Linked DNA regions of Mus musculus. The protein of the gene in region 2 interacts with the protein of the main gene of each other region in a pairwise test. Links are inferred from orthologs where the notes say so. Each region holds a gene or a part of one and is shown on either strand. Other genes may lie near its edges. The genes, in order: Ppp1r18, Vps52 and Usp2.

Region 1 (7,591 bases), about 1.9 Mb from region 2:
GACTCACTAGATCCTCTCATCAGCTATATAAGGTCACCAGGGGGCCGGGGAAGGAGGGGAAGGTCTCCAGCCAGAGAGGATGCTGGGCAAAAGCACCAGCTACAGCACCCCCCCCCCCCAAAGGACTGGGGTGGTGTCTGTCATGATGGCAGGTTTGATAGAAGTAGCCAGAAAAGGAACTACTTAGGGAAGGTGAGGGATGGTGGTAAGGGTTGGAATAGAGCCAGCGCAAGGCACAGTAATCCTTGCTGAGGCTGCACAGACAGAGAACTGAGCGGTGAGGATGGAGACTCAGAGAGGAAGAGGTAAATGGTCAGGTCTAGGGAACTGTGCAGCCTCTTCCCCACCCCCACCCCCACCCCAGTGTAGCTGCTTCCTGATTCTCTCACCACATCCTGAGTAGTTCTTTCGGGGCCTGGGCCCAGTGTTCCCACTCAGTGCTACCAGCCTTCCGGGCCCCCACCCCAGGCTTCCTGTTTGGAAGGTCTGCTTCCGCCCCTCCTACTGGATGACCTAGGTACGGTCACCAGCACAGGTCCTGCTCTGTACTAGGCTCCTTGGCTTCCCCCAGATGGTTCCTAGGTAGGAGCCACAAAGCCTTGTGTCTCCCTCTGCTCAGTCTCCAAAGCCACAGCCAGCCTCAGTAGGAAGTGACTTTTCAGAACACCTCACCCTAAGAGAATTTCCTGTCCTCTGTCCTTTCTAGCTGCCCAGCCCTGAGAAGAGAGAGCCAATAACCCAGACAGAGGCAGGGGAAGAAAAGTCACGTTCAAGAATAGGATAATGAAAATGGACACTTTGTACATGAATTAAAAACAACAAAAAGATGAACTGGGAGGAACCAAGTGACTCATGAGCTTAGCCCTGATCTTTGGTCCTCATGGTGGCCTATTGACACTGAACACACACACAAACACATGAAAGAAGGGTGAGACAGGCTTGCCAGGCCCTGGGAAGATTTGTGTTGTGTGGAGGGCCTTCTGGTCTGAGGCGTCTGACTGTAGCACTGTCTCTCCTCAGAGATTTTTTGACTTAGGAAAACTATTGGTACATATCAGGAAGGTGCTGGGCCGGAGCCAAAGGGAATAGTTACCCTATCCAGTGCTTCCTTGCATGTCTGCATTTCAGCCTAACCTCTGACCCTCTGCTGGCCTCAGCCCCACCCCACCCCACCCCGCCCCCAACTCTCACAGTGCCTGAACCAGTCGCAGCTCTGCAGCTCTCAGCTCAGCGCAAAAGAACTTCTCTCTGTTTCTACCCCAGGGGAGGGAGAGGCCAGGGTAGCAGGAACAGAGGGGGAAAAAACCCCCGAGGCTGAGACAGTTCTGTGGGGGGAGGGGAAGCCCAGGGAGGAAAGATGGGGGAAGGGACTGGGATATTTTGGAAGAGAAGGCTTTTCTTGTCCCTAGAGAGAAGGAAGCACTGTCTAACATTTGCCCAGTTTGGGGGGAGGGGTAGGCAACCCTGAAGTCACCCACTTCAAATGGCCTCTTCTTGCCAGGAGTGGGGGCCGACTTGGGGTCTAAACTCCTTCTTCCTTCAGCCAGCTCTGTTCCATCACCCCAACCCACCCCCCACCTCTGTTCTGGAATGTCCTCCATTAGCTTTGACCCCCTCCTCCTTCTGGGGCTGAGACCTTCATTCCAACTTCCCTGAACTTCTCCGTCAACCTTCTCTGTCCCCCTGGGTTATTTTCACACGCCTTCACAGGTACGTTATCTTTTCTCTCTTACCAGAGGGTTAACTGGGTCAAAAGCCCAGAGGAAGAAAAGGAGAGGGGACCGAGAGAGTGGGGAAAGAAGAAACAGGCAGGGCACACCCGAAAACGACACACCCCAACACAGCAGTTGAGTGCAGAACAGAATCCTTGGGGCTCCAAAATGAATGGCAAAGGAAGGCTACCCAGAGGAAGGGTGTGTGCAGGGGGAGGAAGGGAGTCGGCAGGAATAAAAAGAATAGAAGACAAGAACACACACATATAAAAAAGCCATCCAGTCAGAACTAGAAAGAGACTTCTACCCAGTCAGGCATGGTAGCTCTCTTACCTGTTTGTGATGTCTTTCAGGGGACCCCTTGACAAGGCAGCTGCGGCTGAGACGGAGGTAGCCCCCCAGCACCAAGATCTCCTCTGCAGTTGGGTACCGCTTCTTCCCAGATCCAGACCCTGCAGCATCAGCTGTAGCAGGGTTGACTGGAGGGGCTGGGCTGGCAGGGGGCGCACACCTCCGTGGGTTGACAGTGAAGGTGTGTCCACTGCGGCGGGGGGCCCCCACCCCCGGTCCTGGTTTCACCCCATAGAACAGACGGCTCATGAGGGGATCCCCAGAGGGTTGGGGGGCAGTTGGGGCCGAGGGTGGGGGAGACAGAGGGGCTGGTGTTGGGGGCCGGGGTTCTGCCGCTTCCTCTTCCTGCTGTCTGGAGCCTTCCGTCCCAGAGTGCTCTGGTGGGAGGGGGGAGGGCCCAGAGCAGAGGTTCTGCTGGGCTCTCAGAGGCCTGCTCTGAGCCTCCGCCTCCTCCTTCTCAGCCTCCTCTTCAGCCTCCATACCAGAAGGTCCTGGGTGCTTCTCTGAAGATGCTGGAGGATCTGGCTTCTGAGTTTGTGTATCTATGTCCCAGGTCGTCCGTTCTCGAGCCTTCCCAGAGTTTAGGGTCCATTTCCAGCTTTCAGTGGGTCTCTGCTCAGCAGTCTCCACTTCGCTCGAGGTGATGTCTTGAACCTCCTTTGTCACCGGAACAATCCCTGAACTCAATTTCTCTTCCTCTCTCCCACACCCTTCCAAGTAGTCTTTCCTCTCTTCACCGGACTTCAGCCTCCACTCTGTGGCCTCCAGCTGTATCAAGCTCTGTTTCTGGGGTTCTCTTGAGTCAAGATTCCATTTATGGACATCTGTCGGGCTGGCCTTCTGGTCACCAGGCTCCCCAGGGCTCAGAATGCTTTCCAACACCTCCTTTCTCTTGGGACTGTCATCTCCAGAACCCGCTAATCTCAGACTCTCCTCTGGAGTTTCTCCAGGGCTCAGCCTCCATTTCTGAGCCTCTGCTGGTCTGGAACTCAGGTCTCTGGCCTCTGCTGGGCTCTGCCTCCAGTCTCGAAGAGACCTCGAACTTGACTCTTGGGCTCCCCCTATCACCAGCCTCCTATCTCTGGACTCCCGGGGACTTAGCCTCTCTTCTCTGGACTCTCTTCCCTTAGGACTCTGATCTCTTAAATTACCAGGACTTGATCTCCTTTCTAGAACCTCCAGAGGCCCAGCCTTCCTATCACCAAGCACCTCGTTTCTCTGCTGCTGCTGCTGTTGCTGCTGCCGCTGTCGCTCCTGTTGGATGAATCGATTCTGATGTACTGGTCCAATAGCCTCCAAAAGGACAGCAGATTCATCTGGGTCTGGAGGTCCAGCCTCAGCATTCCCAGGCACAGGGCTCCCCTCTCCAGGAGGCAGGCCCAACTTGGCTCTGCGTCGTTCCAGGATTCCCCTCTTCCAGGCTGGCATCTGGGACAAGCGATCCCGTTCTGCTTTCTCGCGGCCACGAACCGCTGCCTCCTCCTGCCTCCGCCGGGCTAGCAACTGTAGCTTCCAATCTGGGATAGCGGTCATGGTCACTGGAAGTGAAGGAGAGAGTATTGGGGGACAGGAACAGGAAGGGTAAGCTTCAGAGGAGCCCGGAGACTGAGAATGGGGGTTGGGGGAGGAAGTGATGCGGGAAGGGACGAAGAAGGGCAGGAGGGGACAGTGGAATTAAGAATGAAGATAGAGGAAGGCCGTGAAAGGAAGGACAGCAAAAGAGTCAGGAACTGAAAAACTGAAGAGAAAAGCTGGGTGCCAAGTTGGGGGTGGGGATAGTGGGAGAGGAAGAGTCGAGATTCCGGGCAGAGGCAGAGCTAGATTGGGGTTTGTGGGCACCAGACCGTCCCTAAGATATAAGAAAGGGGAGAGAGGAAAAGCAGGAGAGAGAGAGGAGCCGGAGGAGCCGGGGCTGAGAAGTGAGCGGATTCAGTCAAGACTGCCTCCCCCGGTACGCAGGGGGAGATAAACGGGAAGAACAGGGAACCAGACGGCGAAGGGCGAGGAGATCGGGCAGGAGGTGAGGAGGTGAGGACAGATGTAGAGGGCAGAGGTCCAGGGTAGAAGGGGAGACCGGGAAACAGGCAAGGGCGCCGGCGCCTCTTCGCACGGGGCCCCCGCAGCTCCCGGCTGCCTTCCCGGCTGCGCTCGGCCCCGCCCCTCAGTCCGGCCCCTACCCCACTGTCTTTCCCGCCCCCGAGGCGGGTCAGGGGAAATACCCTCCTTGGGGACTTTTGGTACCCGAGCAAGTGTGCAGCCCCGTACATTCCCAGAACCCTGGCGTCCAGCCGCGTTCAGTCCCTACAATCTCGCCGGCCTCCCCACCGGATACGCTCCAGAACTCGGGCGCGACGAGGACCCACATCACGCCTCTGCTGTCTTCCCCAACCAGGGAGCCGGCTCTCAGGGGACCTTGACCCAAAGGGTTGTGCACCAGAGGGAACTGAAGGGACAATCTATGCAAAAGGGGAGACACTCCAGGGAAGATCTGGAGCCAGGAGGCACTTCTCTTAAAGTGGGAGCCACATAGTCAACTTACACGCCTCGGGGTCCCTAGGAGGAGGTGCAGTGGAGTCAGGCGTCGGGAGAGAGGAAGAGGAGGAGAGAGGCGAAGGGAGATCCGGAGGGAGGGAGGGAAACAGAGGAGGAGGGAAGAGGGAGCCTAAGAGGAGGGACGGAGACGCAGACTGGGGGCCAGGCGGGGGCGGCGACCGCTTTGTCTACGGACAATGGGGCGAGGGAAGGGGGCGCAGGGAGGAGCCCGGCGAAGGGCGGGGCTTCGCTGCCCTCCTTCCCGCGTGGACTCTGGTGGGACTTCTCTCTTGCTGTGGCTATCCCCTCGCTCTCCGTTGTCTGTCTCCAGAGACCTTCACCCGCTTCCTTCCTTGCAGCCCCGAAGAAGCGGGGTGTCCAGACCCACTTCTCCAGCTGGCCGACCCGGGGCGGCGGCCCGTGACTCAGGCCCCCTGAGGGACATGGGGAGGAAGCGGCAGCTGCTTGGAGTCGGACCCGCCCTTCCCATCTCTCGCCGCTCCTCCCCACGCTTTTTCTTTCCCTAGCCAGTCTTTGTTACCGTGGCAGAGAAGGCGGCTGCCAGGCCCTGGGGTCTGAGGCAAAATGGCTTTGGGAGTTCGCTCTCCTCCCAGAGAGTTATTCTGTCTCCCGTGGGTTCCCTGATTTATACGCGGAGAAACTAATATTTGGAGGGAACAGGACTGGACGACTGAGAGATGGGGCGGGTCCATGGGGTGTGGCCCCAGCCTTGCGATCGTTTTAGAGTGCTCGGCTATCACCGCAAAAACTAGGTCTCATCTTCCTTCCCACAATTGGTTCTGCGGCTTGAGAGTCATGGACAGACAAGTGGATATCATATGTATAAAATTTTATTTTTTCTGCAGCGCATATCCTTTGGGAGAGCAGGGAGCCCTGAGTCAACCCGAGTTAAAATCGGGAGACGTCGCCTTAGGAGACCACACAGAGCTGTAGGGAAAGACCTAAGGAGAAACTAAGGCAGGAGTGGGGAGGAAGCACAGCCGCGGTACAAAAGAGCCACTACTTATAAACTTTCAGATAGGCCCTGACATAGCTCCCTGAGGTGGAAACATGGAAGGGAATCCCTGAGGTGCAGAGCCAATAACAGTGCCAGGGGAGTGAGTGCTCCCCAGTGTGAGCTGAGGTGCTCCCCTGTGTGAACTGACCCAGTGTGTGTGGAGGTCATGCTCTAAGAGAAAAGGAGACTCATGAGTTTTGTAACCATTCTTGGCTGGTGAGAGGCGGATCTTGAAGACCAGTGGAGGAAACTTTGAATAAGAATTCAGGATCAAGATTCAGGAACTGAGTTCTCCAGCAGGAGAGGGCACAGCCCCTTCAGGGCATGACTTCCAACCTCCTCCGCGGTCTGAAGCAAACTCCGTCTGGATACTAAGGGATTTGATTTTGAGGTGGGAAGTAAATTCAGGGCTTAGAACTAGCTCCTCACTCTGCTTCCCCATCCTGAGGTCTGGAGAGAAGGTGGAGTTTTCTTTGTAGCTGAGACCGAAGGTAGCGGAGATCTTGCTGGTCAAGCCCATGAGCCAAGCCCAGGTAGAGGGTAAAGAGAAGAGCCAGGAGGAGCCGATCGGTGCCCAAGGTGGGGACCACCCACAGCACAGTCAGCAGCTCCACACACACTGGGTGTCGAAGGTGGGAAAAGAGTCTCAGAGCCCGAGGAGACTTCAGGGACAGGGGCTCGCCCAGTCCCAGCACATGGTAATAAACCTGGAAGAGAGAACATCACGGAACTCAAAGTCAAGCCCTCTATCTCAGTTGCCTCCGTCCTCTTCCCAGCATCCACCCTCAAAGCCCAGGAGACCTACAGTCACTCTCCTTTAAGGCAAGCTGGAGGAAAACAGAGGCACTACAAAGCCGAGAGAAGTCAGAAGAGTTCAGGAGGGAGAGACTTGCAGACGCAGATCTCACGTAGGGGTGTGGGATTCTCACCTGCTTGAGGCCCATCAGTTCAGCGTAGTCAAAGACCAGAAGGATGCTAAAGATGAGGAGCCAGGAAACAACGTGGAGCACAAAGCAGAGGAGAGGTACCCAGGTGGCCCATGGTTCAGCCCGAGCCTCCCATAACACTGGGCCTCTGGGTGTAGTCTCCCAGTACCGCATCACCAACTGGGGAAAGATGAGAGACTGGGCACACCAGTGGTCTCCCTTGCCCCACAATAACCTACGAGGACTCTTTCCGACAGGTATAAACAGTAAATATTTACCATGTGGAGGGTTCTGGGAGGGGTACCAAGGACATGAAGATGGCCCATCCCTACACAGGATTTTTTGGAGACTGGACGGGATGGGGGCTGGTGGATAATAATCACTCAACTAGCCTATGCCAAACATCCATGAGAATACCAACTGGAAGACAAGTGCTATTGTGAGGCCTAGGGAGGTTGTAGGATAAGAACCCGGGAGGAATTCAGAGCTGAAGCAATAAAACATGAACAATGTTGCAAAGGTGAGACTCTCTTAGTGTGCTGGGGAATGTCAAATATATACAGCTTTGCTGATAGGAGAATATGCCCAGGAGGGATGGAGGCTGAGCTCTGCATGTTCTTTCGGTTCCACCAGTCTCCCTTGGCCAGGCCTCATACCTGCAAGGCCAGGGCTGTGCACGCCACATAGAGCGACCTCTGAAGGACGCCAAAGTACCGGGATGTCCACGCCTTCACTGCCTCAGTCGCCATAAGGCTGTGCTGTACCACAAACAGTAGCAGCAGACATAGATCCCAAGCCAAGGAGGCAAGAATGCTCCGGTCCTGCAGGGCAGCCAACCACCCGTGGCGGGCATCTGAGGGAGTTGGGAAGGAAAGGGACAAAAGGCCAGTTAAGATGGCTAGGACATTCCCCTAACCACATCTTTGGAAGCTCTATGTCAAGCCCCTGATGCTTTCAAGATCTTGTCAAGGCCATTCCCAGTTCACTCTGCTGTTCCTTCAATCTTCCATCTTCTCTAGGCCTCCTCCTGGGGAAGGTTTTTAGGTAGGGTC
Region 2 (7,491 bases):
GCCGAATGAGCATGTTAAATGGTGTACCAGACACAGGGGTAAACACTATGTAAGCTGGCGATTTTAGCCTCTGGAATTCCCTCAGGGATCACCTGGAATAGCTGGAAACTGAGGTCCTAAATTCAAAGGCAAGTTTGACTAGTCCTAGTTTTTTCTCATTTGAACAACTCCAGCAACTCCATGAATTGCCTGATATTCTCAGTAGCCCAAGATTGTAGATTTGAACGCATCAGAATCTTTGACCCACTTACTCCGGCACCCCCCACCCCCCAAAGCACCCCCCACCTCACTTGGAGGATTAAGGATACCCGATTATGTTTTGTTTCCAACATCTCTTTCTGTATCCCACATTCATTAACCTGTCCCTCTTCAGGGGGGGGGTTCTGGACTCCAAGAACCCCTACAACTTGGAGAGTTGGACATCACCTCTGATGAATTCATCTTGGATGAAGTGGATGGTAAGTGCTGACATGGGGTGGGAGCAAAGTAGACCCCTTTATTCTTTAGAAATATATTACATGACCCCAGTAGATTACCCTCTATGGTTTCTTTCTTTTGTATGTGTGTGTGTTTTTATTTTTAATTTATTTTTATTTTTTTGGTTTTTTTTCGAGACAGGGTTTCTCTGTAGCTTTGGCTGTCCTGGAACTCACTCTGTAGACCAGGCTGGCCTCGGACTCAGAAATCCGCCTGCCTCTGCCTCCCAAGTGCTGGGATTAAAGGCGTGCACCACCACCCCCCGGCTGGCTTTTTTCTTAATGTACAGATAAAGTTTAATCCATGAGTTGAGAAGGCTTAACTTCTAATTTAGGAATAGTAAGAAATGAACAGTACGAGTCGAATAGTCACAGCAATACACTATAATAAAATCGCAGCATCACTTTTTCCCCTTTGGGACTATTGTTGAGTAAGAATACAGCCTGGTTGAACATACATACGCAGACAGCTAAGACTGAGTGACTGGGAGGCAGGCACAGCACACACCATAGATTAACGGAGCAAAGATGTTTCAGATCCAAGCCCAGGCGAGAGGTTCTCTAGCTTCTCAGAATGCCACACATTTTAGATCTTACAAGCCACACTTTGGAAATCCCCTTTTAATATTTTCCATCTGTGGTCGAGTAGACCATGAGGAGCAGAAACAGCAGGAAGTCCCACCGGGCAAAGCAGCTGTGCCTATAACTGGAGAGGGTGGGGGCTGGGAGGGAAGGGGAGATTGGTGTGGTGTGCGTGTGCCCAGTGTGGGCAGAGGGAGGTCTGGCAGGGGACACTAAATATAAGCTTGTTTCCAGTTCACATCCAGGCAAACCTGGAGGATGAGTTAGTGAAGGAAGCTCTCAAAACGGTGAGGCTCTCCACTGGGTTGATCTCCCCACCCTCCCTTCCTTTTGGGGTCCCCTCAGCTTAGTGGCTCCCCTCTAGCCAGTCACGGAGTCTGTACTGGTTGTCCTTCCCCCCAGGGTGTGGATCTTCGACACTATTCAAAGCAGGTGGAGCTGGAGCTGCAGCAGATTGAGCAGAAGTCAATCCGGGACTGTATCCTCCAGCCTCACAGGCACAGGGCCAAGATGGCTGCTATTGGCATGGGCTCTTGGGGGCCTGTGATGCAGGTAGCCCTCAAGGGGATGTCTTCTCTCTCAGGCTTCTGTCACTTTGGGGAGGACCTGGGGGCAGGTACTGCAGATCGGCAGAGCTCTGTGTTCAGTGTGAAGCCCTTGACTTTTGTGGGTCAGATATCCAAGAGAGTGAAAACATAGCGTCTCTGCACAATCAGATCACGGCCTGTGACGCCGTCCTGGAGGTGGGTGGCCCTCACCTGTTGCCCCAAATCTGACTTAATTGCCTCTTCCTCCTCTTCCTCCTCCTCCTCCTCCTCTCCTTCTTCTTCTATCAGTATTTTTTGTCCCCCTTGGACAAGTGATGATCTCCCATCCTCCTGGGTTGCTGGGTACCAGGGATTTGCACAGAGACTTGGTTGACACACCTGTCCTTGTTCCCCGACAACCCGGAGTCATGCCCACAATGTTTCCTGCCCTCCCCACAGCGCATGGAACAGATGCTGGGAGCTTTTCAGAGCGATCTCAGCTCCATCAGCTCTGAGATCCGAACCCTGCAGGAGCAGTCGGGGGCCATGAACATCCGACTTCGTAACCGACAGGCAGTTCGGGGGAAACTTGGGGAACTTGTGGATGGGCTGGTGGTGCCCTCTGCTCTGGTCACGTGAGTCACTGGTTTGAAAGGTAGTAATGTCCAAAGCAGGTGGTTGGGCTGGGTTACCTAAACAATTTACAACATAGGTCTCTAGGCTGGGGTTGTCAGGTACCATCTAGAAACCAGGTGTGCCGGCTCATGCCCGTAATTATATGCTTGGGAGGCTGAGACAGGAGGATTGCTGCAAGTAGACTAGCCTGGGCTATAGAGTGAGATCTTGTAATGGATGGATTAAGAACTTCGAACCCTGCTTTACCCTCCATAGGATAGGACACAGGTTAAGAGTGCTCCAAGGCTACATGAGGAAGTGTGGCTCAGGAGATGAAAACTTTGTACATATTATCTTGAAGGCATGAGACCACAGAGAAAGGCAGAAATGACATGTGAGGTGTGAGGGGGCTCTCTCAGGGCTGTGGGGTACCCCGTCTAACCACACCCATTCTCCCGTGCTCCTCAGAGCAATTCTGGAAGCTCCAGTGACCGAGCCCAGGTTCCTGGAGCAGCTACAGGAGCTGGATGCCAAGGCAGCCGCGGTGAGAGAGCAGGAGGCTATGGGCACCGCTGCCTGTGCTGACGTCAGAGGCGTGCTGGACCGGCTCCGGGTCAAGGTGGGGAGTGGTCTGCTCAGAATCAGCTTTCCAGGAGCTTCACACTGCTTCCCGCTGTGCAGAGCGTGGTTGGCCCTCCAGATCCCCTGAAAATCTAAAGAAGGTTGAGATGTGGCTCAGTTGGCAGAGCGGTTGCTTAGCATGCATGCAGCCCCAGGTTCCATCCCCAGTGCCATATACATTGGCATGATGGCACAAGTCTGTTGTCCTAGCACTTGGGAGGTGAAAGGAGAAACGAGAGTTTGGGGCCAGTACAGATACATGAGACCCTGCCTCAAAACCAAGCAGTGTTCACCTTGGCAGCATAGACACTAAAATTAGAACAATACAGAGAAGATTAGCATGGTCCCTGTGCAAGTAAGAATCATATTTACAAAATGAAACAACCCAGAAAAATAAGGCCGGGTGTGGTGGTGCAGGATTTTAACCCCAGCACTCAGGAGGCAGAGGCAGGCAGACCTCTGTGAGTCCCAGGCCAGCAAGGGCTGCACAGAGAGACCCTGTTTCCATAACCAGAACACAACCGAAGTATTTGTTCCCTTTGCTTTATCTTCACCCCATTCCTGCCGTACAGTGAAAGCCCACCCCGCCTCATGGCCCGTCTGTTCCCCACGCCTAGGCAGTGACGAAGATCCGGGAGTTTATTCTCCAGAAGATCTACTCCTTCAGAAAGCCCATGACCAACTACCAGATCCCCCAGGCGGCCCTGCTGAAGTACAGGTGGGTGCGGGGTGGGCGCGGGGTGGCCTGTGCCCTCTCAACACTGCAGCGTGGGCATCCAGGGAGTCTGACTTGCCCTGGTCCTTCCAAGGTTTTTCTATCAGTTCCTGCTGGGTAATGAGCGTGCTACAGCCAAGGAGATCAGGGATGAGTACGTAGAGACGCTGAGCAAGATCTACCTGTCCTACTACCGATCCTATGTGGGGCGGCTCATGAAAGTGCAGGTGAGCAAGGCTGGAGACATGGAGGAGGATGGGGAGGAGGAGGAGGGGAAGGGGGAGGAGGGGGAGGGATGAAGTCCTCACCTGCTGCTGGTGGAGAGTGATGGTTCAGCTCTGTTATTTTCTCTAGTACGAGGAAGTTGCTGAGAAAGACGACCTAATGGGTGTTGAAGACACAGCAAAGAAAGATATCCTGGAGAGGAGAGCCCCATGAGCTGGGCTCATGGCTGGGACCATGGCGGGGACATCTGGCTCCAGCCTGCAGGCTGTGTTTCGTTTCGTTTCGTTGCTTTGCTTTGCTTTTCTTCCTTTCTTTATTTCTTTTCTTTTCTTTTTTTAAGAAGATTTATTTGCTTTATGTATGTGAGTACACTGTAGCTGTCTTCAGACACAGCAGAAGAGGCCATTAGATCCCATTACAGATGGTTGTGAGCCATCATGTGGTTGCTGGGAATTGAACTCAGGACCTCTGGAAGAGCAGTCAGTGCTCTTAATCCCTGAGCCATCTCTCCAGCCCGGGGCTGTGTTTCTTACCCATTCTGTGGTTCTCAACCTTTGAGGACATGAAATCGAGAGCTTTTTCTCTAAGAAGCACTCGCCGCTCTGACAGATTTTCACATTTATTTCTGAGGGTTTGTAAAACCTTGACAGCCATTAAGGGTGTCAGGCCAAGCAAGGCTCAGGTTCTGGAAAGGGCTATCCGGGCCATATTTAGTTTCCTGGGACTCGGGTCTTGGCTTGTTGGGCCTGGTGCAGTTGGTCTCATTGGTTTCCCTGACTCCAAAGCTGTTCACGCTTCTTCTCGAAGCCGTCCCTCCGAAGCAGGAACACCATCTTTACCCTTGGCACTCGTGGTACTGTCATCTCACCGGCCGAGCTGGAGGCCCCCATCCTAGTGCCCCATACTGCCCAACGTGGAGAGCAGAGGGTATGGTGAGGCAACCCCTCCATGGCCAGGATCAGTTCCCTGAGTGTTAGTTTGGTGTGTGGGGGGGGGCCGGTGTCCCTGGCCTGCTGTGATGCGGGAAGTTAGGAGCCATGGACTCAGAGGCGGGCAGAGGGAGACTGGCTGGGGCGTGACTGTTGGGAGGCAACAGTTGAAGTGAATGTGGGGGTAGAAGTCAGTGGGGAGGGCTTTTCTTGTGACCTGTGCCCCATCTTCAGTGCCTGTTCAGGGTGCTCCTCCCTGCCTGGAGGAGGGTGTGTGATCTTGTGAGCTCTGATTACTAAGCTGTGCTGAGTCTCCACATCCACGGGTTAGTGAGAGACCCATCGTGTCTCTCTCTGTCTCGGTAGTATCCATTCGAAGCGCTCTTCCGCAGCCAGCACTATGCCCTCCTCGACAATTCTTGCCGTGAATATCTTTTCATCTGTGAATTTTTCATCGTGTCTGGCCCGGCTGCACATGACCTGTTCCACGCCGTCATGGGCCGCACGCTCTCCATGACGCTGGTGAGCTCCCAAATTCTGAGCCTGTCCACAGGCAGACAGCAACTCCTGAGGAATGAGTGTTCTCTAAGCCTTGGCCCTGGAGCCCCCATCCCAAGCTCAGCCCCAGCTTCTGCTCAGCCCCAGCTTCTGCTGTGGGGAACTTACATAAGTGTGGCTGTGAGCAGGTCAGGCCGCTTGTGGTACCTGTGGACAGGGAAGAAGCTGGTCTCCCTGGTCTGTGCCTTGTCCCCAAAGAAATGTACATCTGTCTGCCTACAGCCACTCGAACAACAAGCTAACATTCATTTGTCTGCCACAGAAACACCTGGAGTCCTACCTGGCTGACTGCTACGATGCCATTGCTGTTTTTCTCTGTATCCACATTGTTCTCCGGTTCCGCAACATTGCAGCGAAGAGGGACGTCCCTGCCCTGGACAGGTCACTGAGCTCTGGTCCTTGGTGTCTGGATGTGGTCAGCTTCTTATGTTACGAAAACAGTTCCATCCTGACTCTGGGCCCTCACCTGATGCCCTTCACCCTTATTCCCATTCATGTGTCCCAGGGGCAGCATTGGCATCAGGCACACCCACTCACTGTCACCCTGAAGCGTGCTGTACTCCCCTGGGCAGACTGCACCCCCAGCCAGCTGACCTTTGATTCTGATTAAGCCTGCAGGTACTGGGAGCAGGTGCTTGCCTTGCTGTGGCCTCGGTTTGAGCTGATCCTGGAGATGAATGTCCAGAGTGTCCGCAGCACTGACCCCCAGCGCCTTGGGGGACTGGACACTCGGCCCCACTATGTAAGGGCGAGCAAGGTTAATAAGGGGGTCTGTGGTCACACTGAGTGGTGGGTGGGTACTGCCGAAGGAGTCAACTTAGGCAGACAACATCTGTTCTGACTGGTGACAGAACTTGCAGGGGTATCTGAGGGTTGTATCTCCCAGTCAGGCAGGTGTGAGCCTTCCCTTCTTGCTCCCAGATCACACGCCGCTATGCTGAGTTCTCCTCTGCACTTGTCAGCATCAACCAGACGATCCCCAATGAACGCACGCTGCAGCTCCTGGGACAGCTCCAGGTATAGCTAGGCAGGACATATTTGCCAGCAGAGGGACGGGACCTGTGTCCTTGCTTTCTAACCTGCTGCTTTCATTTGGCTTGTGCAGGTGGAGGTGGAGAATTTTGTCCTCCGAGTGGCTGCAGAGTTCTCCTCCAGGAAGGAGCAGCTTGTGTTTCTGATCAACAACTATGACATGATGCTCGGGGTGCTGATGGTAATGCTGCTCCTCCCACGGGGGTCCCTACAGCTTGTGAGCTCTGCCTGAGCTCAGCGCTTTACCCCTGGATGCTGGCAGTGTCCACATCATGGAAAGAAGGGGAAGTGATGGCAACAGTGAAGGTTCCCAAGCTCCTGACTCCTCTTGTCTTCCTTAGGAGCGGGCTGCTGATGACAGCAAAGAGGTGGAAAGTTTCCAGCAGCTGCTCAATGCTCGGACACAGGTAGGGCCTGGGTGCAGCAGGAAGACTGCGATGCTGTTGGACTGACCTCTGTGTGCAGTCATGAGTACAACCCACTGCCTTGTTGCTAGTCTATTTCATTTAACTTTTTCAAGGTACTAATAGTTTAGAAGCAACATAGAACTATACCTATTTATGTATGCATGTGTGTGTACTATAGCTACATGTATGTATGCATGTGTGTGCATGTACTATAGCCCTGTGTGTATGTGTGTGTGTGTGCACTATAGCCCTGTGTGTATGTGTGTGCATGCACTATAGCCCTGTGTGTATGTGTGTGTGCACTATAGCCTTTTGTGTATGTGTGTGCATCCACTATAGCCCTGTGTGTATGTGTGCGCACTATAGCCCTGTATATGTGTGTGTGTGTGTGTGTACTATAGCCCTGTGTATATGTGTGTGTGCACTATAGCCTTGTGTGTATGTGTGTGTGTGCACTATAGCCCTGAGTGTATGTGCACTATAGCCCTGTGTGTATGTGTGTGTGTGCATGCACTATAGCCCTGTGTGTATGTGTGTGTGTGCACTATACCTCTGTGTGTATGTTTGTGTGTGTGTGCATGTATTATAGCCCTGTGTGTATGTGTGTGTGTGCATGCACTATAGCCCTGTGTGTATGTGTGTGTGTGCACTATAGCTCTGTGTGTATGTGTGTGTGGGTGCATGCACTATAGCCCTGTGTGTATGTGTGTGTGTGTGCATGCACTGTAGCCCTGTGTGTATGTGTGTGTGTGCATGCACTATAGCCCTGTGTGTATGTGTGTGTGTGCATGCACTATAGCCCTG
Region 3 (7,491 bases), on a different chromosome or scaffold from region 2:
GCAAACAATATAGCCTTCACACTTATGTTTGTAAGCCTGAGAATGTATGTGTCTGAAGAAGTTCAAGCTTGCATCTGCCCTGAGATTTTTTTTTAGGAATCTACATTTGAGGACACTGCCAGGAAGGGTAGGGAGGATGGAGTGCACACAGGACGAGGCTGTCCGGCAGACAAAGTCAAAAGCTGCATTTAAAGTCCTCAGTGAGTTCTATGTCTGCTCTGTAGGTGTGTGGGACCTGTTGGCTAGGAGCCACAGCTCCATGGCTCCGGTGTCCCCACAGGAAGCCAAGTGCATCTGTGCAAAGCTATGCCACCATTGTCAGTTTCTTAGGGAAACTTTGCAAAATGATGGAGACTCTCGGCAAGAAGAGAGACATCAACATCTCTGTAAAAATGGCATGAAGAAGGGAGCATGGGTAGGAACTACCGCCGTTGTCCAAGGTGGCAGGCACCCGGGGAGGTGCAGCCAGCAGCCACATGCCTGAACTTGCCAGTTCTGGAAAAACAATGAGAGGAGCCAGGCAGCAGGGGCCCCACAGTGGACAGGGAGGAGTGTGGGGGATCCCAGCCAATAGGCTGGCCTCCCACTGCCCCATGAAAGAGCCATTCAGTCCCAGCCGTTCCTGTGGCAACAGGGAGACTCAAAGCCATGTGAGTGCTGCCCTTCCTGTCCCTGTCTTGCGCAGCAAGGCCACAGGCAGATTCCCCAACCGAAGCTCCTGCCCATGGTGCATTCAGTAGCCTCCAGGGACAGCAGGACCAGGTAACGCCAAGAGAATCTAACGTAGTAAACTGTCTTCTCACCTTTGAGGCGCTGAGACTTTTCTCCGACAAAAGTAGGGCTTAGTGGAGGGGAGAGATGTGTGCAAAGTTTCAGCTCCAAAAAAGAAACCTTCTCCTACCCTGGGAGCTGTGAGGTAGACATCAGAGCTGGCAGTTTCCAGGGGCTGGGATCGAGCAACTGGTGGAACTATCTGGACAGGAGAGACTTGGCAGTTGCCTGCCAGATTGGAGCAGACAAGAGAGCAGGGATTGGGGAGTCCTCCTCAGGGTTCTCTGAACTAGAAGATGGGGCTCCAGGGTCAGGCCTTAAAAGTGCCAGTGCTGTCTGTCCCTGTCGCTGTATCTCGTTTGGCCTGGGCACTTGTGCGTCATCCTCTGGGCTGAGAGAGGTCACAGTCTTGAGGCAGTGCCCACAGAATACCAATTCCCTAGGAGCCTCAGTCTGGGAGAAGGGAGGGAGAGCTGGGGAGGAGGAGCCATGAGCTCATATGCTGAGGGTGGGGGCCAATCTGATTGGCTGCCGGGTGTCCCAGAGCCCAGCTCCCAAGGCCTGAAGTTTCTTTGACTTTGCATTATTGATGGAGTTCTCCAAAGTGAAAGAGAACAGGACAGGTCCCCTGCCCCCAGCCCTAGGCCTCTGTTTCCCACCCCCACCTCCCCGTGATTTCCCACTATCCGTACTTCAGACCCTCACACAGTTACCATCTCCCAGAGCAGACTGGAAGTTCCATGGGAGAAGGGGGCAGAGTGGACAAAAAGTGTCCACACAAGGTATTGGGATCCCCTGAGCCAGGCAAGGAAGACAGTCAGATGGACAGCCTTTCTGGTGCCAGCCGGGACTGAAAACTACTGGAGGTCTCTGGCACAGTTAAGGAACTCCGTTCTGTGGCCACCTCCTCACCTTCCACCTCTACCTCTCTCCAGAGCCTTCAGTGGCTTGAGTTTCTACAACCTTCTGCCAAGCTCTCAGCGTTTGGGGCTTGGCACACATCCTCCCTGCCCTGGTGAGCTGGGCTGCTGGCCTAGGTAAGCTGTGGGCTGCATGAGCCAGTGTCTGTTGAATGGCTAGATGTCTACCCACTACCCACTTAACTCACTGGGGGTGGCAGGGGGAAGCCTGGCGCCTGGGCTGAGGTCTAGCCGGCCAGGCCAGGGAATGGCCAGCCCTGCCATTATTATAGATTACAAAGGAGGAGCTGGGCGGCCTGGCTGGGCTGGCTAGGAGAGAAGATAATAGCCGGTCATTGTTAAGCGCTTTCCCGTGTTATTATCTCAGTCCTCACAACAACCCTGCGAGATAGGAATCCTGATGTTATTAGGCAACTTTACAGGGAGGAAATCGGGGCTCAAAGAGGTTCAACGGCTAGTGTAACTGCTCAACTGGTCTGTCTCAGAGAGAGTCAAAACCAGCCCTGGGGCCAGTGAGATGGCTCAGCAAGTAAAATCACTTGCCACCAAACCTAACCTAACCAACAGGCAAACCCCCAAACATGCATGGTGGAAAGATAGAGCTGACTCCTACCAGTTATCCTCTGACTTTCATGTCTGTGTCGTGTGTGTGTGTGTGTGTGTGTGTGTGTGTGTGTGTGTGTGGTGTTCACACACACATGCACACGCACACATGGAGGAGGAGAGAGATTTTTATTTTATTTTTTTAAGATTTATTTTATTTATGAGTACACTGTCATTGTCTTCAGACACACCAGAAGAGGGCATCAGATCCCATTACAGATGCTGTCAGCCACCATGTGGTTGCTGGGAATTGAACTCAGGACCTCTGGAAGAACAGTCAGTGCTCTTAACCGCTTAGCCATCTCTCCAGCCCGAGAGAGATTTTTTAAATCGTATGCTACTCTTGAGATTCCTGGATAGGTCTCCAGACCTCCACCCCACCCTGAGCCCCACCCCACCCCACCCCCACTTAAGAGTCCCTGAAGAAAGGAGCCTGGTCCTCTGTGCCCCTTTCTCCAAAGCACCTTCTCCCCTCTTGCCACATGGTGGAGGGGTTCTAGGAGTCTTCAGAGCTGCCCAACTCTGCTGAGGAATGGTAGAAGCAAGGCTGGTGGGAAAGGGTGCGGGGCCACGACCTGGGTTCCAATCCTGACTCTCCAGAGCAGGTGAACTTGGACAAGCAGGCATCATGCCCGTATCTGTACAATAGGTTAATCAATACATGGCCTTTAGGACTATCCAACCTCCACATTCAGGGATTAATCTACAAAACCCTGAAGTCTGGGAGTGTCTGCAGTCTACAGTACAGGATCTTGACTCTAGGGGGCGCCTCTTGCACAAGTCAAGTAACTCCAGGATCAGTTTGGCCCCTGCGTGGGTCCTGAAACCTCCTAGGAGGCCGTAGGTTCCTAAGCTCCACTGGGAAGACAAAGCCAAACTCCAGGAAGAGAATAGACAGGTTCTACCTCACCAGCGTTCCTGGTGTGGTCCCCTGTGTGACCAAGCAGGTACCTGTGTCCAAGGAAGAGTACCAAGGGAGGTCTGGAGACCAGGGTCCAGCCCTTCTGCTAGACATTCCCTCCCATCTCCCGCCATCACTTCCTTTCCTGAGACCCTCCTCTTCCTCACAGTCTTCCAGACATTTCCGGGGGGTGGAGGGAGCATTTTATACCTGAAGGTAGAACTGCTTGCCAAAGGCAGAGAAGCATTCATAACTCAAAGTGCTCATTGTCCCCCAGTCTATGCACTGAGGGTGGTAGGATCCCCCAGTCTCCAGCCCTTGCCAACTCTAAAAGTTCCTGCCGAGACTTACAAGAAGACCCACATGAGATTCAGCTGGAGTCTCTGATGTAGAGGGCTGGGGAAGTGGAGAGGCTGTGCCTTTTGCTGGTTGTTCTTGTGGGTACATGGGTACACCCACCCATATACATACCTGTTTGCATGTGTGTTTCTCTGGAGCTAGCCAGCCTATTATAGGCAGGCCCCAAGTGGTCCCTGTTGAGCCCTAAGGTCCTGGCCCAGCTGGCATAAAGAATGAGCACAGGATGGGCCTGGTGCTTCGCAGAGCCCTTGACAGCTGCTTTCCTTGTCTTTCAGCCCATGAGGCTCCCAGTACCCACTGAGTACCACCCTGAAGGATGTCCCAGCTCTCCTCCACCCTGAAGCGCTATACAGAATCGTCCCGCTACACAGATGCCCCCTATGCCAAACCGGGCTATGGCACCTACACCCCTTCTTCCTATGGGGCCAACCTGGCCGCCTCCTTCCTGGAGAAGGAAAAACTTGGTTTCAAGCCGGTCTCCCCCACCAGCTTCCTCCCACGGCCCCGCACCTACGGCCCCTCCTCCATTCTGGACTGTGACAGGGGCCGCCCCCTGCTGAGATCTGACATCATTGGGAGTAGTAAGCGGTCAGAGAGCCAGACCCGTGGCAATGAAAGGCCCTCGGGCAGTGGACTCAACGGAGGCAGTGGATTTTCTTATGGAGTTTCCAGCAACTCCCTCAGCTACCTGCCCATGAATGCCAGAGACCAGGGGGTGACCCTGAGCCAGAAGAAATCGAACAGCCAATCAGACCTGGCCCGGGATTTCTCCAGCCTCCGGACTTCAGATGGCTACCGGACTTCAGATGGCTACCGGACCTCAGAGGGCTTTAGGATAGACCCTGGAAACCTGGGTCGCAGCCCCATGCTGGCCCGCACGCGTAAGGAGCTCTGTGCCCTGCAGGGCCTCTACCAAGCAGCCAGCCGTTCTGAGTACCTAACAGACTATCTGGAGAACTATGGTCGAAAGGGCAGTGCACCACAGGTGCTCACGCAAGCCCCTCCTCCCTCCCGAGTCCCTGAAGTCCTCAGTCCCACCTACCGACCAAGTGGCCGTTACACACTGTGGGAGAAGAGCAAGGGCCAGGCCTCTGGGCCCAGCCGCTCCAGTTCTCCAGGGCGAGACACCATGGTGAGTTTACTCTTGGGGATCCAGTGAGGGACTGGGGAGACAGCCCCGTGTTACAAAGAGCCAGGCTAGGAACAGAACTCCCAACCTGACTGACGATTGGTGGCGGACAAGCAGCAGAGATCATCTTCCACGATGATCAAAGCATGACTTGGTGGCTCCATGGCTCAGAGCCATGGGGAAGGGGCTGGCCCGTGCTTCAGAGACCTACACACGTGGGAATGATCCAAAGGTGCTCTAGGAGGTTCAGCCCCCCCTGTCTGCTGTTCTTCTCATTCTCTGATCTCCCATCCAAAATGTCAGGGTCTTCCCCTGTGGGCTCTGGTCCATCCAGGGCTGGATGCCACAGTAGAAGTGTGATCACCATGTTACCTGTGGAGAGAGAGCCATCCTCCCACCCCGATCCCTGCTCTGGATGGTTCTCTTCCTGTCCAGGCATGAGATATTAGGAGTAGCAGGACTCTTCCCCTGATGCCGGCAGCTTAAGTTCAGGGTATCTGGAGAATAGGTTTGTATCTTTGGAGAAAATAGTGTAGAGTCTTTTGTCCAGAGATAGAGATGATCTAATACCTCAGTGCTCCAGCTTGCCTGGGCTGGAATGAGGGGAGAGGCTCTGTTGGAGATTAACCAAGGGCTGGCATGGTCTCCCTCACATCTAATCCCTGAACACGCCTCCCTGGGGCAGTGACTCCTCTCCTCTCCTGTAGTTATCCGTGTGTCCAATAGGTGGCGAGCTCTTGGAGATTTAAAGTGATTGTATCTCTACTCCTTCCCCTGTGCCTCTGGCAACTCGGGGCTCAGCTGACCTGCTGATTGCATGGATGGATGGATGGGTGATTAGACTGGGGTGGGGGTGGGGTGGTGGATTGATGGGCAGAAGAACACATAGGTAGACAAGCGTGTGGGTAAGAGGATTGGATGCTGTGTTCTCTGTTTCCTTATGTACCCCTCCTTATAGAGCATATGTCTTTTGTAAAGGCAAGCAAGCTATGCCATAGCATGAAATAGTGCTTTAGAGAGCTTGTTCAGGACTAGGGATCATAGCTGGGTCATAGGCTAAAGTGTGTCATGACAAAGGGCCTTGGGACAACTTTGATAGTATCACTTGAACTGTTTTGGGCCACCTGGGAAGTACCATGGAAGATACAAAAGCTGTGTCTCACAGGACATTCAGACTCTAGCCATCAGGGTTGGCTACAGGCACAGGACGCTGTAGGGTCCATTCTCGACACGTCCAGAGTTGTTCATAGAGGTGATGGGCAATGAAAAGGCTCCTCTCAGTGGAGGGAGCCTCTGCCGGCTCTTCCTTTGCTCGGAAGAAAGGAAGTCTTCTTGTACACGCATGCTTCTCTGTGGGGTCCGCAGGCATTCGGTGGCAGTAGAATCACCTATGGGCTTAACAGTCCCCCAGACCCTCTGGAGCAAACGCTCTCAGGGCAGTGCCTTAAGATCTGCCTGTTACAGGCTTTTCAGGTTGTCTGGGCCAAAGGCTGCAATACACTCCAGACTCCCAGCAGCTGCTGTTATCTGTCATCTTCCTCACAGCCAGCTACTTACTGCTCTTCCTGAAGTCTGCTGTCCCCTTTCCCTTCATTTCTCCTGGGGACACCTGGCCCTACCCCAGCCCAGGGCCGGAGAGAGTTGTTTTCAGAAAGGATCTCAACGAGGTAGCAAATACCCTGAGCAAACTCAGTCGCCAGAACCTGCATCCCTCTGGCCTAGAAGCAAGGCACAGAACTGTTAGGTGGTCAGGAGTGCCCTAAAGCCAAGCTAGCATTTCATCCTGAGCTCTGCTCAGTACAGTACCACCAACCAGGAGAGACCTCTACGGTCTCACTGCCCCGAGACCATCACTTCACCTTGGCCCTCTTATGCTCGCTTCCAGGGGTTGATTGTATCCTAAGGAAGTGAGAGCAACTTTTTGGGTGCCTTGAAATCTGCCCCATCACAAGCTTCTCCATAAGTTCTGTTCTCCCAGGATGGCTTCTTTAAAAAAAAAAGTGTGGCTTCTTCTCACAGTGCTGTTTTCTAGCTCTGAACTCTGTACCATGCACACCTCTGGGGAACTGAGAACTCTGTGCCATTCACCTGGCTTTCTCGGGCAGTTTCCTTAACTCCTAAGTCTGTTTGCTCTTCTGTAAAATGAAAGCACTCATAGTTTCTACTTCATAAATTACTGTGAAAGAGCCTGACACATAGTAGGGACTCAGTAAAGGTCGGTCATCTTTGCTCCTGGCTTTAGGAGACGAGAGAGGTGCAGGCCAGCCTCTGCCTTGAGTTCACTTCAGGAAATCCATGCCTACTTGGTTACACCAGGAGGCAGGCCTGGGTGTGTGTGTCTTCCGAGGTAGGGAAGGGAGAGGTCACCTGAGGCCGAGACAGACTGCCCGTGACCTCTGAGAGGCACAGTCTTACCTTTTAACCTTGGATACCTATCAGCTCGGACGGATTTCCTCCTCTATAAAGTGAACGATGGCACCTGCCCTGCCCTCCTCACAGGACTGCCACAAGGCTCAAACCAAGTAATGAAGGTGGAGGCATCTCCAGCCAATAAGACAGTAACGGCCAACCTGAGCTTGGAGCTTCACAGGCTCCATTGAGCATGTGTAATGGAGGCACCACCGGCATGAAGTCGGTGAAGGTGCAACTCGGCCCTGGGGCTCTGAGGGTCAACCCCCTGAGGCCCCACTTTCCCTGAAAATGCAGGGCGATGAGCCAGGAGCCACCAAGGTGTTTTGCTCTTCTAGGGAGGATTTGCAAGCCAGCCCAGGTGGCTCAGCCCTGCAGAGCGCCTAGAGCCAGAGAGC

Evidence for each region.
Region 1: the proteins of Vps52 (region 2) and Ppp1r18 interact in binary tests that used the Homo sapiens proteins (3 or more experiments, as listed by UniProt). The two-hybrid records come from large-scale screens. The link is inferred for Mus musculus from reciprocal best matches to the Homo sapiens genes VPS52 and PPP1R18.
Region 3: the proteins of Vps52 (region 2) and Usp2 interact in binary tests that used the Homo sapiens proteins (3 or more experiments, as listed by UniProt). The two-hybrid records come from large-scale screens. The link is inferred for Mus musculus from reciprocal best matches to the Homo sapiens genes VPS52 and USP2.

What each region holds. Positions count from the first base shown.
Region 1 is NC_000083.6:35,863,240-35,870,830, reverse strand, and holds the start of Ppp1r18 (phostensin), read right to left. Parts: upstream 4,217-7,591; 5' UTR 3,602-4,216; coding exon of another isoform or gene 3,597-3,601; coding exon 2,046-3,596; intron 1-2,045. Other genes in the region: Nrm (nurim), read right to left, coding at 6,039-6,320, 6,543-6,719, 7,196-7,392.
Region 2 is NC_000083.6:33,956,557-33,964,047, forward strand, and holds part of Vps52 (vacuolar protein sorting-associated protein 52 homolog), read left to right. Parts: exon of another isoform or gene 1-128; intron 129-373; coding exon 374-458; intron 459-1,292; coding exon 1,293-1,345; intron 1,346-1,460; coding exon 1,461-1,536; intron 1,537-1,733; coding exon 1,734-1,801; intron 1,802-2,044; coding exon 2,045-2,220; intron 2,221-2,668; coding exon 2,669-2,819; intron 2,820-3,106; exon of another isoform or gene 3,107-3,216; intron 3,217-3,393; exon of another isoform or gene 3,394-3,438; coding exon 3,439-3,539; intron 3,540-3,630; coding exon 3,631-3,763; intron 3,764-3,890; coding exon 3,891-3,948; intron 3,949-4,554; coding exon 4,555-4,688; intron 4,689-5,056; coding exon 5,057-5,212; intron 5,213-5,510; coding exon 5,511-5,629; intron 5,630-5,859; exon of another isoform or gene 5,860-5,866; coding exon 5,867-5,990; coding exon of another isoform or gene 5,991-6,005; intron 6,006-6,169; coding exon 6,170-6,265; intron 6,266-6,353; coding exon 6,354-6,461; intron 6,462-6,621; coding exon 6,622-6,687; intron 6,688-7,491. UniProt on the Homo sapiens protein: Acts as a component of the GARP complex that is involved in retrograde transport from early and late endosomes to the trans-Golgi network (TGN).
Region 3 is NC_000075.6:44,071,536-44,079,026, forward strand, and holds part of Usp2 (ubiquitin carboxyl-terminal hydrolase 2), read left to right. Parts: exon of another isoform or gene 1-762; intron 763-1,706; exon of another isoform or gene 1,707-1,808; intron 1,809-3,830; 5' UTR 3,831-3,871; coding exon 3,872-4,687; intron 4,688-7,431; coding exon of another isoform or gene 7,432-7,491. UniProt on the Homo sapiens protein: Hydrolase that deubiquitinates polyubiquitinated target proteins such as MDM2, MDM4 and CCND1. Isoform 1 and isoform 4 possess both ubiquitin-specific peptidase and isopeptidase activities.